Linked DNA regions of Pelodiscus sinensis. The protein of the gene in region 1 purifies or fractionates together with the protein of each later gene. This does not show direct contact. Links are inferred from orthologs where the notes say so. Each region holds a gene or a part of one and is shown in the gene's direction. Other genes may lie near its edges.

Evidence for each region.
Region 2: the proteins of MTMR4 (region 1) and DNAJC10 purify together in Homo sapiens (affinity purification with mass spectrometry; 3 studies listed by BioGRID and IntAct, counting the BioPlex papers as one, with this or other methods). This does not show direct contact. The link is inferred for Pelodiscus sinensis from reciprocal best matches to the Homo sapiens genes MTMR4 and DNAJC10.

What each region holds. Positions count from the first base shown.
Region 1 is NC_134731.1:19,042,036-19,049,119, reverse strand, and holds the start of MTMR4 (phosphatidylinositol-3,5-bisphosphate 3-phosphatase MTMR4), read left to right. Parts: upstream 1-4,069; 5' UTR 4,070-4,084; coding exon 4,085-4,135; intron 4,136-4,245; exon of another isoform or gene 4,246-4,474; intron 4,475-7,084. UniProt on the Homo sapiens protein: Lipid phosphatase that specifically dephosphorylates the D-3 position of phosphatidylinositol 3-phosphate and phosphatidylinositol 3,5-bisphosphate, generating phosphatidylinositol and phosphatidylinositol 5-phosphate.
Region 2 is NC_134717.1:49,427,344-49,434,301, forward strand, and holds the start of DNAJC10 (dnaJ homolog subfamily C member 10), read left to right. Parts: upstream 1-3,948; 5' UTR 3,949-4,209; intron 4,210-6,958. UniProt on the Homo sapiens protein: Endoplasmic reticulum disulfide reductase involved both in the correct folding of proteins and degradation of misfolded proteins.

The sequences.
Region 1 (7,084 bases):
TTCCATTTCTCATCTTCTGTGGTTATGTCAGAGCTGGATTTACCGTGTCCTTGTAAAGCAATGAGTGTAGAAAGGGAGTGGCAGTTTGTGTGGCTTTTGGAGACAATAGGGCCATTTTAAACAGTTGTTTTCTGGGCTTGTGAACACCTCTTCACCTGGACTGTTTCTGGCCGTTTGTGCCCTCATTTCCAGAGATGCCAAGAAGCAGCAATTACGAACTCCAACTCGTAATTTCATAAACTCCATGGAAACAGGGACTATTGGGATCTTCTAGTGTGTCCTCCTGTAAAGCACAGATCAGAGACCTGCCCTAACACAATTCCTAGAGCAGAGTTTTGAGAAAAACAACCAGTCTTGGCTGAAAAATGGTCAGTGATGAAAAATCCACCTGGACTCCTGATAAGTAAGTTGATCCAAGTTCAGCTGTGGGGACTCAGCCCTCCTAGAAATCAAGCCCTTGATGCCTACCATCCTGGTCTGATTGTATTCCCAAAACGGAACTAGGACAACCATGAGGCTCCATGTGGAATATTTTTACTTGAAAGGCCATTCCCTCAGGGACAACGATATGGTACAAGGACAGCCTCCTCTGCAATGCAGGCTCCGGAGCAGCCCCCACTTGGTGCTATGGCAGTAATAGCCCTGAACTGGCAGGTAAATCCCCACCTCTCTTAACCCACTTCTGCTGCAGCACCTGAACGGTGATCACAGTCCATCATTTCTGCCCGCCAGGGGCTGCAGCAAGGAACACTAGACATTGACTAACCAAATTAAATTCAGTGCCTGCTAAATCAACGGCATAAAGTGTGAACTGTTTATTTTCATCCTTCTTCCCCCCCCTCCTCCGACGTCTCACCAGTCTAGCAAAGCCTGACCAGCATTATCAATGATTTCCCCAACAACTTGAGCTGTTTCTTATGATGATACTTTAATTTTCCTAACTTGCAAAGCAAACAAACAGTGATTGATACTGAACAGGAGGGAGAAAGTCCCTCCTCACAGTGAGCTGCATTAGCTGTGGAATGACGCTGCCAACTCAGTGGGTGTGTCTAGACGACATGGCTCCGTCAATGGCATAAGGGATCTGACGACAAAGGGAGCTGGGGGTCGGCTGATCCCCGTCTAGACTACCGCGCTGTGCCGACAAACAGCTGATTGGCACAGTGCAGCGGCCATTTGAGGAAAATGAAGTGGCGATTATTTAAATCACCGCTTCATTTTGCTGTCTGGTAAACTCATCTTTGACGGAGCCATGTAGTCTAGACACACCCAGTGGTAGAATCTGTGCTAGTCAAGTGATGTGAGGTGCTGGGAAATGCACTGCAGAGAGTGACCCCATCGTGGTCCTAGAGCTGGGACACATCATAACCAATAGGCTTTGCCCATCCCATACCTACTAATCTTCAGAAATGCTAGTTCTCTCAAGTCTCTATCTCCCAGTGCTGCACATACATCCATATATGCCACTGAAAGGCGGCTCCCACTGTAGAACCCTGCAGAGGGAAAAATGTTGGCAAAGCTCACTGGACAAACCCTTATGGAAAGGACTATGGGATCCAAGTGCCAGGGACTATAGGGTCAGATGACTCACCAGTACACAGTAAACTTGTCTCCGAGCCACTAAGCCAATGATGGCTGGTGACAAAAAGCTGCAAAAAGAAAACATCTGGCCACTGTATTGCTTTGCTGTAGGTCAGGAACATCTAATCTGTGGCCCTTCAGGCTACATCTACATTGCGCATTCTTGCGCAAGACATGCAAATGAGGTGCAGCAATGAATATTGCCACCCCTCATTTGCATACCTAATAAGCTGCCATTTTTGCACAAGGCACTTTTGCGCAAGAGCCGTTCTGCCACTTATTTTTAGGCAGAACGGCTCTTGTGCAAGAGGGGGTTTTTGCGCAAGAAGGAGCAGTGTAGACAAGCTGAGCTACACCCTCCATTTTTAAGCCTCTGAGGGCATGTCTACACACACAGGCTACATCAGTGGTCCCCAACGTTTAGAGGCTCCCGGGAGCCCAGGAGGTGGGGCCACTCATGCGCCGGGCGCCCGGGGGCACGCCAGGGGACTGGGATGCCCTTGCACCCAGCGCCGGTGTGTGCCTTAGGGCCGGGGCTGGGGCCGCCCGAGTGCGTTGTGCCGTGGGCCAGCGCTGCCGCCACAGCCACACGCCTGGGGCTGGCACCAGCGCCGCTCGAGCACCGCGCTCCTGAGCGCCCGCATGTGCCCCGGGCCTGGGGCCACCCGAGCGCCGCGCACCCAGCGCTGGTGCGTGTCACACGCCTGGAGCCGCCGCCTCCCGTGTGCCGGGCCAGCCCAGGTTGTCGGTGGGCGCACACGAATGCCTCGGCGGGCGCCATGGCGCCCGCGGGCACTGCGTTGGGGACCACTGGGCTACATCTACACTGCAGGCTTCTTGTGCAACAGCACGTCCACACCTCAAAGTGCATCACTTTTGTGATACGCTTTTGCACAAGAAAGCGTCCACACTGCATGGATGCTCTTGTGCAAGAAAGCTCCGATGGCCATTCACATAATGGTCGTCAGAGCACCTGTGCTTTTTTGGATAGGCTCTTTTTGTGCAAGAAACCCTTGTGGAGTGTCCACACTTGCCTTTTGTGCAATAGCTATAGCGCAAAAAGGAGTTATACCTCATAAAAGGAGGTTTACCTACACCGGAAAAAGCCCTCTGTTCTTCTGTATTACTGCCGCTTTACTTGCAAAAAGCGCATTTGAGGTGTGGACCCTCCGCAGGTTTTTGCGCAAAAACCTTGTAGTGTAGACATAGCCACAGTACTGCAACTTGCAGTGGTGGGAGGGAGTTCTCCTATTGGCATAAAACGCCACCTCTGGAAGTGGCACCAGATTTGTCGACGGAAGCAGCTCTCCTGCCCACATTATGTTGCTTGGTGAGAAGAATATTCATGTTCCGGAGCTGACGTCTACACTGCAGGCTTCTTGCGCAAAAAGCTTTTTGAGGAAGAGCTCATCAGCAAAAACTTCTTGCACAAGAGTGTGCGTCTACGCTGCAAGGATGCTGCCTCGCAAGAAAGCTCTGGTTGCCATTAACAGAACGGCCGCCAGAGCACCTGTGCTTGATTCGATTGTTTTTTTGTGCAAGAACAGCCTTGCTGCCTGTCCACACACGTCTTTTTGCACAATAATGCTTGTGCAAACAGGAGTGACTCCTGCACGCAAGCCTCCCTCCTGTCCAGCAGTGGAGCGTGTCTGAGGTGCGGCCGCTCCCTGAGTTTCCTGCCAAAGCTCCGCGGGGCAGCCCTCCCCTAGGTTTTGCGAGTACAGCAGGCAGCGTGACTAGCCTGAAGCAGCGCCCCTCCCCTGAGCCCCCCCCCCTGCAGGCCCGCTCTGAGCCCCCCACCCCCTCCCCTGAGCCCCCCCCTGCAGGCCCGCTCTGAGCCCCCCACCCCCTCCCCTGAGCCCCCCCCTGCAGGCCCGCTCTGAGCCCCCCACTCCCTCCCCTGAGCCCCCCCCTGCAGGCCCGCTCTGAGCCCCCCGCCCCCTCCCCTGAGCCCCCCCTGCAGGCCTGCTCTGAGCCCCCCGCCCCCTCCCCTGAGCCCCCCCTGCAGGCCCGCCCCCCGAGGCCCCCGCAGCCGGGCGAGCTGGGGGGGCCACAGGCAGGGGCAGAGCCACGTGCGCGGGAGGGCGGGGCCGGAGCGAGTCTCCAGTCGCACTGTCCACCCGCCCTGCAGGCCGGGGGCGGGACCAGGCCTCTTGAGTGACATGAAGACCGTGCCCACTATGCTGCCCCCTCGCGCGGCCCCGGAAGTGCTCCGTCCAATTCCGGTGACGTAGGCACGCAGCAGGCTGAGCCGCCAATGAGCGCGGGGCCTTGCCGGGGAGGAGACGGGTTTCCATTGGCTCGCGGGGGACGCGCTGTGATCGATCACTGGACGTGCCCCTATGTGATCACGCCCCTCGGGTTGGGACCCCCGATAGGCTGGCGAGGCGGGGGCGTGTCCAATCTCCGCGGGCCTAGGCTGGGCGGTGCCGCGGGCGGGAGGAGACTCCACTCGTGATTGGCTCGCGGCGCGGCTGGCGCTGATTGGCTGGAGCGGCAGGTTATGCGCGCGGAGGAGTACGCGGCGGGGCTGGAGTGGTGGAGACGGACCGCGGTGAGACCTTCGCTCTGGGGCCAGTCCCCCCTCCCCCCAGCGCCGCGCGGGCCTACCGCGGCCCCGCCCCCAGGCCCCCTCGGCACGTGTCCCGCGGCGCGTCCGCGTGCAGGCCGCGTCCCCGGCAGGCGGAGCCGTGCGCGCGTCCCCGACACGCCCCCAAGCCCCGCCCCTCGCTCAGCCCGGCCCGTTCTCTAGGGCGGGGGGCTTCTCTGCGTCCGGCCCGCCTCGGCCTGCCCCTCCCCCCGCCGGGGCTCGCGCGCTGCGAGCGTCCCGGGGCCTCCGCGGGGGCGGCACCGCCACTTGCCCTGCGGAGACTGGCCGGGAGGCCGCTTCCAGGTGACCTGGGGAGGGGCTGGTGTGCGGAGGGGGAAGGTGAGGTGGGGGCGAGGTGAGGGGTGGGTGTGTGGGGGGGGCGGGGGGAGGGGTGGGTGTGTGTGGAGGGGCGGGGAGGGGTGGGTGTGGGGGGGCGGGGGGGTGAGGGGAGGGGTGGGTGTGTGTGGAGGGGCGTGGGGGGTGAGGTGAGGGGTGTGCGTGGGGGGGTGGGGGGGTGAGGTGAGGGGTGGGTGTGTGTGGAGGGGCGGGGAGGGGTGGGTGTGTGGAGGGGCGGGGGGGTGAGGTGAGGGGTGGGTGTGTGTGGAGGGGCGTGGGGGGTGAGGTGAGGGGTGTGCGTGGGGGGGTGGGGGGGTGAGGTGAGGGGTGGGTGTGTGTGGAGGGGCGGGGAGGGGTGGGTGTGTGGAGGGGCGGGGGGGTGAGGTGAGGGGTGGGTGTGTGTGGAGGGGCGTGGGGGGTGAGGTGAGGGGTGTGCGTGGGGGGGTGGGGGGGTGAGGTGAGGGGTGGGTGTGTGTGGAGGGGCGGGGAGGGGTGGGTGTGTGGAGGGGCGGGGGGGTGAGGTGAGGGGTGGGGGTGTGTGGAGGGGCGGGGGGGGTGAGGTGAGGGGTGTGTGTGGAGGGGCGGGGGGGTGAGGTGAGGGGTGTGTGCGCGTGGGGGTTGTGTGTGTAAATCTATGAGCCTGGGCTCCAAGAAATGCTGCGGGTGGCAGCTGTAATCGTGGCACTTGCTCCAGTAGCCAGTTTTAATGCTTTGAGGATCCTAGCCGGGAAGGGTGGGTGCAATAGCTTCTTTTGTTTACTAAACATGCCCTGGGGTTATGTCAAAGATCGTTTTAGTTTGACCCAGTGACATGGGCTGAATAATGCGATCAATTTCAGACACATACTGAAACCACATGCAACTTCTTTGGGGGCCATGTTTTGTTAAGTGTGTGGGTGGTTTATATAGCAGTGTGGGCTAGGGCTTGTGTAGAACTGTAGTGGGGGGAAAAGTTGCCTCCATTCTGCTAAGAACAGAGAACGGTGGAAGTGAGCCCTGTCTCCATGAGGGCAGCTGCATATGCTGGTTCAAACTGGGTTTTTCAAAGACTAACAGCCAAAGAATGGATTTTGATGTAAAATAGCTGTTTGTAAATGGGCTCAGGGCTTCTGTCTAATCTAGCAAACAGACAGACCTTCTGTTTAAGGGGGAGCCCAACTCTTGTGGAAGGGTTGGAAAGACTTTGCCCTGCTCAGACTCAGTAAGACTGCTGTGTAACCTCTGGTAAGCAGTACCATGTATGTAGGGACTCTTATTGCGTGATATGGCCTTTTTTCTCTGTAATGCATTTGCCCTAAGAATAAATACTGTTTGCTTTGTGAAGACTGGTTGGTAACTAGCATGCACTTCTGAAACTGTAGAGAAAGTGTTAACCACAACTACTTTTACCCAAGTCAGAATTGCTGGGAAATTGCAGTGACTTGCACAGGGATTGCAGTTTAACCTCCTGATTAGAAAGGGATGAAGACTTGCATCTCTCCCCAAGAGAGGTGACAGTTGAAACCCTGAAACCTTAAATAAATGCTCTCAAGGAAGTTGGTGGGGAGGAGGCATTCAAAGGTGTAGTTGCTCCTGGAACTGATATTTCCATCTATGGACTGTTGGACTGGAACTATTCAAGGGTCTATTTTGGTGGAATAGGTCTGCAGGACTTCTAGTGCTTCTCCTGCCACTCCTGCTCTCCCTGACACATTTGTCAGGAGGCCCAGGTGTATCTAATTTTCTGTGTCCCAGTGCCTATTCACTGACGTGCTCTGATACTTTTATGCCATTAGCTCAGAAAGCATGTTGTGTGAAAAGTAGAAACTTGTTCCCTGCATTCACTGAGTTCAGTGGGTGCACTTCCATTGAATGCAGTGGTCCAGCACCAGAGAGTGGTATGTTGGAAAGTGCATTGAGGGGATATGTCCCCTTCCTTTCACTCTGTCAGATAGTGGCAGGCAGTTAAAGATAATTTTTAATACTTATATACAAATGCCAAAACAAATAATTGCAGGTGAACTAGAGGCCTTGTATTTAATGAGGATATTGATGAAATAGGCATCAGAGAAACTCGGTGGAATGAGAATAATCAATGGACACAAATACTAAGTTACAAAATATATCAGAAGGGCAGAATAGGTTGTGCGGGTGAAGAAGTGGCACTGTATGAGAAAGAAAGCATCAGTATCAAAAATCTTATAAGTCGAACTGAACCATAGAGTCTCCGTGGATAATAATTCCATGCTTGAATAAAAAGAATATAGCAATAGGGATATATTCCTGACCACCTGATGTTTATGATAATAGTCTCCATGAAGTGCTCAGAGATTAGAGAGGTTATAAAAATAAAAAAGAAACTCTCCATAATTGGCTTGGTACATGTCACCTTGGTATGGGAGGCAGAGACTGATTTTTATGAGCAGCTAGTCCTGGAACCCACAAGGGGGGAGAGAATTCTTGATCTAGCCCTACGTGGAGCACAGGATCTGGTCCAAAAGGTAAGTATATCTGAAATGCTTGGTAACAACATAATAAAATTTAGCATCCCGGCTGAGGGGGAAAACACCAAAACTGCCCACCACAATAGCATTTAAT
Region 2 (6,958 bases), on another chromosome or scaffold:
AACTCCTCAATTAGAGGAGGAGGAGGAGGAAAAGCAGTGGTACTCTTTCTGGCTCCAAACACAAATGAAACTCTACCCACTTGAGACACCAAAACAAGACACCACATCTAGGATATAATATTCCAAAGAGGGTTATGAAAGTTCTACTGGGCTACACTCAAGCTTTAAGTTGTGCAGAGGCTCTGCAGATATTCTGCTGGTGGTAGTCACTGAGGAGACTGGCAGCTATGGCCACACACTCTCCATCCAGTTCTGGGTCATGTTGGTTCCTTATCGCATAAATAAATTTGTAAATGCTTAGCACTGCCAAAGCCTACACCCAACTTAGACATTCAGTTACTGATAACCAAAAATATGGTTTACCCAGGCAAAGACTTCACTTCCCCTTAAACGTAGTCAGATTTGGCCCCATTTTGTCAATAGAGGTAGTCCCCGGGTTATGTCAATCCGACTTAAGTCGGACCCCTAGTTACGAACGGGGGGGGGGGGGCGCAGCTAGTGCGGGGTGCCTCCCCCACTGTCGCCACCTCTGGCAGTGTGGGGGGCGCTTCCCCCAGCAGACCAGGGAGACGCGGAGCTAGCGCCCCCCCCCCCCCCAGCAGACCAGGGAGATGCGGAGCGGCTTTTCTCGCCGCGGAGGACACTGGTGGCAGGACAGCCAAGAAATGCCGCGGTCCCGCCGCCCGCGTCCTCCGCGGCGAGAAAAGCTGCTCCGCGTCTCCCTGGTCTGCTGGGGGAGGCGCAGCTAGTGCACTCCCCTCCCCCCAGCAGACCAGGCTTTTCTCACAGGTGGTCAGTTTCAGCAACACCTGAATCAGGACGCCTGGGGTAGTGCAGCTGGGGAGCTGCCGGGTTGGTCCCACAGCGCCGAGGTGCGGCGCTACTGGACCCACCCAGCAGCGCCCCAGCTGCTCTGTCCCAGGTGTCCCCGATTCAGCCGCTGTTGAAACTGATCAGCGGCTGATTCCAGGAAGCCCGGGGCAGAGCAGCTCTGCCTCTGGCTTCCTGTAGTCAGTGCTGGTCAGTTTCAGCAGCGGCTGAATCGAGGACACCTGGGGTACAATATGTACCAGTTCCGACTTACATACAAATTCAACTTAAGAACAAACCTACAGTCCCTATCTTGTATGTAACCCGGGGACTGCCTGTATCACAATAAATCTTGAACAAATCTCTTCAAGTTCATAACAATTCTGAATGTTCTGATTAAATGAAAAATCAGGCTATTTCAGGCATTCTAAATGGTTTTGGGACCCCAGGATATCAAATGAAAAAGTGGGACTATCCTATTAAAATGATCAAGTTAATATACCACTCTTGGTACTTAGTATTGCCTCTCCCCGTTCACTGCCTTACGCCGGTATTCAAAACCCCCACACAAAAATGAGCTTTGTAAAAAAACCCAGAAATATAGAATTCATGCTGTACTCCCTTATACCATTCCTTAGAATCATGAACTCTATGATTTCATGATTACTTTCACCCAACCTGCCTTCCACTTTCAAATTTTCAACCGGTTCTTCCCTATTTGTCAAAATCAAATCAAGAACAGCTTCCTCCCTTGTAGGTTTTTCAGCCTTCTGAAATAAAAAATTGTCTTCAATTCAGTCCAAGAACTTATTGGATAGTCTGTGCCCCGCTGTTAGTTTCCCAACATATGTCTGAATAGTTAAGCCCCCATCCCCACTAAATCCTGTGCTTTGAATGATAGTTGTTTAGAAAAAGCCTCATCCACCTCTTCTACCTGGGTAGGTGGTTTGTAGTAGACCCTTAGCATGACATCACCCTTGTTTTTTATCCCTTTTAATCCAACCCAGAGTCTCTCAACACATCTGTATCTGATGTCCAGCTCCACCTCAGTTCAAGTGTGTACATTTTTAATATACATGGCAACACCTCCTATTTACCTTGCCTATCCATCCTGAGTAAGCTGTATGCTTCTATACAGTATTCCAATCATGTGTATTATCCCACCACATCTCTTTGATACCAACTGTGTCACAGTTGTGTTTATTTATTAGGACTTCTTCCTGCTGATGAAGTGGAAGCACCTACATAGACCATAAAGTGAGTACATCTGTCAGTTCCCCAATTTTAGTTAGGATGCTTTTTAAAATTCATTTATTATTGCTACTTTGTTAATAATTAATTGTGAGGACAATGTAATGTGTTAGGCTAATCTCTTCCTACAAATGAAAATAGCCAAGTTAGAACCAATTTGGTTCTACTAAGTTTATAGTCACATAAAAAAAACCAAAAAAAACCTCAGCTAATATATATTTAACATAAGATGACAAATTCTCATACTTTTTTTGATCTAACAGATTTTTTTTCAAAAGAATGTTCAAATAACTAAGATTGTGATACAAGCGACAATAGCACACAAAGTTCGTGTTGACATACCATTTGCAACCAACGCCTTTCTGCATTTGTGTCAACTTGACTTTTGTTGGTTTAAGTCTTGAGTCACTTAATTTTGTTTATGTAAAATACAGTAATTAAGTAATTTTCATGCTGGTTGATATATGTAAACTACTTGATGCTGCTTGAAACAAAGTCTCTGCAGAGGCAATATGCAATCAATATCACAGAAATTCTATTCCAAAGATTTCTGGCAACAGTTGGGCACGGTGAGCTGTTTTCCAGGACCCATTCAAAACCTAAAGAATAAGTTTTGGATGATGACTGTCAGGATACTTTACAGCTCCTACCCACCTAAAGGGGAGGGGGGGGAGAGGAGAGTCCAAAAGAAACAAATACTAATGAGCCAACAAGTATCATATAAAGATGGCTCTGCTAGTACACTTCCACCTTTCCTCTCCCTGGGAACTCTCATCTCCCAGCTCTCCCTTGCTACACCAACCAGTGCTACTGTACTTTAAAGTAGTACAACAGGTTGTAACATGCCACGCACTGGATCACCCTGCTGAAGGGTGACCATGCAACCAGTGGAGGGACTAAAGCAGGTTTCCTGTCTGCCCTGCTACAACGGACCACACTGCACACCAGACGCAAACAACATCAGATCTAGCTCCTAGATGGAGGGCCACAAGGCACTGCCCTGCCCAGCTGTGGGGACTGATGCCCGAAGCAGAGAGAAGCATGCAAGGCCATTTGTGCACCTCCACCTAGGAACTGAGCACAACACCGTGCATAATGCCAGGACAGGCAGGAAGCACCGCTGCTGTGCCACTGAACAGGTGACTGCAGAGGTAAGCCCTGCAGAGGTAAGCTCCTGAAACTTATCTCTGGACCCACACCAAAGCCTGCACTCCAGAGTCCACACTTCCCAGCATCCCATCCTCCTGTCCCAGCCCTAAGCCCCCTCCCACGCCCTGAACCTCTTTTCCCTACCCCTCAGCTTGAAACCCTCATCCCCAGCCCCATGCCAGAGCGTGCATGCTAGTCAAAAGATATAATTAAGTCACAGGCAACAACTATTTCCTTCAACTGGGTCGTGAGGAAAAAAAAAAGGTCCGAGTCTGTACTGTACACCAGGTTCTCAACCAGAAGCCCGTGGCCCCTCAGTGGGCCAGAACCATATCAGCGGCTCCACAAGGCTGCAGCTACAGAACAGAACTCCAGCATCCTCCAACAGGCCCAAAGCCAGGATCCATGGGGCTGCAGCCCCATGCCCCAGTGCACCGCAAGAAGCCACAGGGCTGAAGCTGCGAGCCCAGGTGCTCCCTTTGGGCGGAAGCCAGCAACTGCTGCTGTACATGGAGCACCCATGGGTGGGGCTGGGCGGGCACAAGGGCCCTCGCTACACAAAGGCTGGTCTGACAGGTTGGGCGGCCGGCGGGGGGGGGGGCGCTTCCTCCCCGGGCCCTGCTGAGCGAGCCCGACCCCACTTGGGCCACCCCCGAAACAGAATCCAACTCAGGCCGCCCCCGGCCCTGGAGGTTTATAGCCCCGCGCCGGGCCAGGAGCGAGCGCAGAGACTGGGGCGCGGGCGGCTCTGGCACCGCCCAGCCTCGCCACCACCGCAGCAGCCGCGGCCACGTCAGCCCTCCCGGCCTGGTGACGCAGCAATCGCCCGGCCCCTCCTGGCTCCGGCTCCGAGCCGGATCCGCCCTCGCCCCATGCTGCTCCGCGGCCGGCCCCTCCTCCGCCGCCTGCCAGCAGCCGGCTCCTGCGCATCCCGCCGGGACCCGAGCGCCGCGCACAGCGGGACGGGCGGCCTGGCCGGCCCGGGAAAGGAGCACAAGGGTAAACCCGCCTCTCGTCCCTGCGCCCGGTCCCCCCAGCTCCCCGCCCGCAGCATCTTCCCTCCGCCACAGCCCCGCTCTGAGCCCCCTCCCCCCCCAGCATCCCCAGCTCCCCGCCCGCAGCATCTTCCCTCCGCCACAGCCCCGCTCTCAGCCCCTCTCCTCCCCAGCATCCCCCCAAATTCCCGCGCCCCCCTCTGCCCCAGCCCCTCCCCTCTCCCCCCAGCATTTCCCCAACTCCCCGCCCTCAGCATCTTCCCTCTGCCCCAGCCCCACTCTCAGCCCCTCGCCCCCCCCAGAATCTCCCCAACTCCCCGCGCCCCCTCCGCCACAGCCCCTCCCCTCTCCCCCCACAGCATCCCTCCAACTCCCCACCCCCAGCATCTTCGCTCCGCCACAGCCCTGCTCTCAGCCCCTCTCCTCTCCCCCCACAGCATCCCCCCCAACTCCCTGTGCCCCGCCCTGCTCTCAGCCCCGCTCTCAGCACCTCTACTCTCCCCTCACAGCATCCCCCCAACTCCCCGCGCCCTGCCCTCAGCATCTTCCCTCCACCACAGCCCTGCTCTCAGCCCCTCCCCTCTCCCCCCACAGTATCCCCCCAACTCTCCACACCCCGCCCCGCACTCAGCCCTCCCCGAGCAGCTTTCCTCCACCCCACCCTCAGCATCTTCCCTCTGCCCCAGCCCTGCTCTGTCCCCTCCTCTCCCCCCACAGCATCCCCCCAACTCCCTGTGCCCTGCCCTCAGCATCTTCCCTCCGCCACAGCCCTGCTCTCAGCTCCTCTCCTCTACCCCCACAGCATCCCCCAACTCCCTGTGCCCTGCCCTGCTCTGCTCTCATCCCTCCCCCAGCATCTTCCTTGTCTTGGTTCGCACCCCCCCCCCCACACACACACACACAGCACATCCTCTCTGAGCTGCCCCTGCTCCACAGTCTCCTCCATCTAGCCCCGCTCTCATCTCACCACCACCACCCCACCCCCTACAAGCCCTCAGCATCCTCCCTGAGCCACCTCTCCCACCTAGTCCTACTCTCAGCCTCTCGCCCCACACCCCTTACCATCCTCTTGGCTCCTGTCGCCACCATCTCTCCATCCCCTCAACATCCTCCCTGGGCTGTCCCAGCCCTGCTCTCAGCCCTCCCCATCATATGCCCTGGGCCACACCTGCACCCCAGTCCTACTTTTACCTTCCTGTCTTCCTCCCCTCCCCCCAGCATCTGTTCTGGGCCACCTGTGCTGCAGGTCTACTCTCAGCTCCTCCTCCCCTCCCCCACCATCTCTTAGCACTGTCCCTGGATATCCTCCCCGCCCCCCCCCCCCCCCTCCAGCCCCATCTCTGCTTTCAGCCTTCTCTCCTTCCGGGCTGCATCCACCCCAGCCTTGCTCTCACCTACTCCCCTATCCCCTGAGCTTCCTCCTGGGATATTTTCCCCAGTCCTCTGCACTTTCCTATCCTCAAGCAGCTTCCCTCTTTCCATTCTGTCCATCCTGGTACTCTTCCCTTCTTTCCCAGATCTGCTCCTTAACCCTAACCTGCCTCTTCTAAAGCATCCTCTCCCCATTTCTACTTTTCTTTGGCCCTGTTTTACCCTATTCTGCCCTCTTACTTTCCCTCACCCTCATCTCCTTCTTTCTTCTCCGTCAATGTCACACACTTATCCTCTGTTCTCTTCCTGCCCTCTTGTGCCATGTTTATACAGGTGTTTAAATGAGCATTTTGGTATTTTATTATCTCACCCTAGAATAAGATGCTAAAGGAGGTATCTTTGTTCCCAGGCTGTTTCACACAACCTGTATGCCTGGACAGACAATATCCACTCCTGCATGCATAGGCACACAACAGGCTGAATGACTCTGAAGGCACCCTAGATCAGTTTCACTCAAATTACTTGAAGTGGTTTTTAGGGTCATATTGATTTTTAATAAGTTTCAACTGTCTAATGAAGCACGGTGTACAATCTTTGGGTATGTCTACACTTGCACCCTAGTTCGAACTAGGGATGCAAATGTAGGCAACTGAAATTGCTAATGAAGTGGGGATGTAAATATCCTGCACTTCATTAGCTTGATCTCGCCAGCGTGTTACTCCACTGAATAGGTGTTTCGAAAGTGAAAGTGCACGTTTCGTTAGTTCGAACCAAACCCTTTGAGGAGTAACATTAGTTCGAACTACGGGATTTGGTTCCAACTAACACATCCCAGCGCGCACTTTCACTTTCGAAACAGCTGTTCAGCAAAGTAATGTGCTGGCGAGATCATGCTAATGAAGCACGGGATATTTAAATCCCAGCTTCATTAGCAATTTCGGTCACCTACATTTGCAACCCTAGTTCAAACTAGGGTGCAATTGTAGAAGTACCCTTTCATCCGAGGAGTGAAATATTAAAATAACGGATTTCAACCTACTTGCTTTCACATGCAGAAATATCTCATCTTCCTATACCTGAGTGAGTGAGACTAAAGAAAATAAATATTGGGCAGGAAAAACAAATATTGGGCGGGAAAAACAATCAGCATACAAATGTATTCCTCAACAGTAAACATGTCTAGATTTTCATATCCTTCATTAGGAGCTTATCCCATGAGTAAATCTTTGAAGAAGTACCCCATACCAGAAACGGAATGATAAAGTTAATGTCCACTAACATTTAAGTTACGTAGAAATATCAAAAGATGTTGATTAGTTGATAAGTTACTAAGAAATATTAACAGCATCTACAGAAGGCACCCGACGTTAATAACTGGAAAA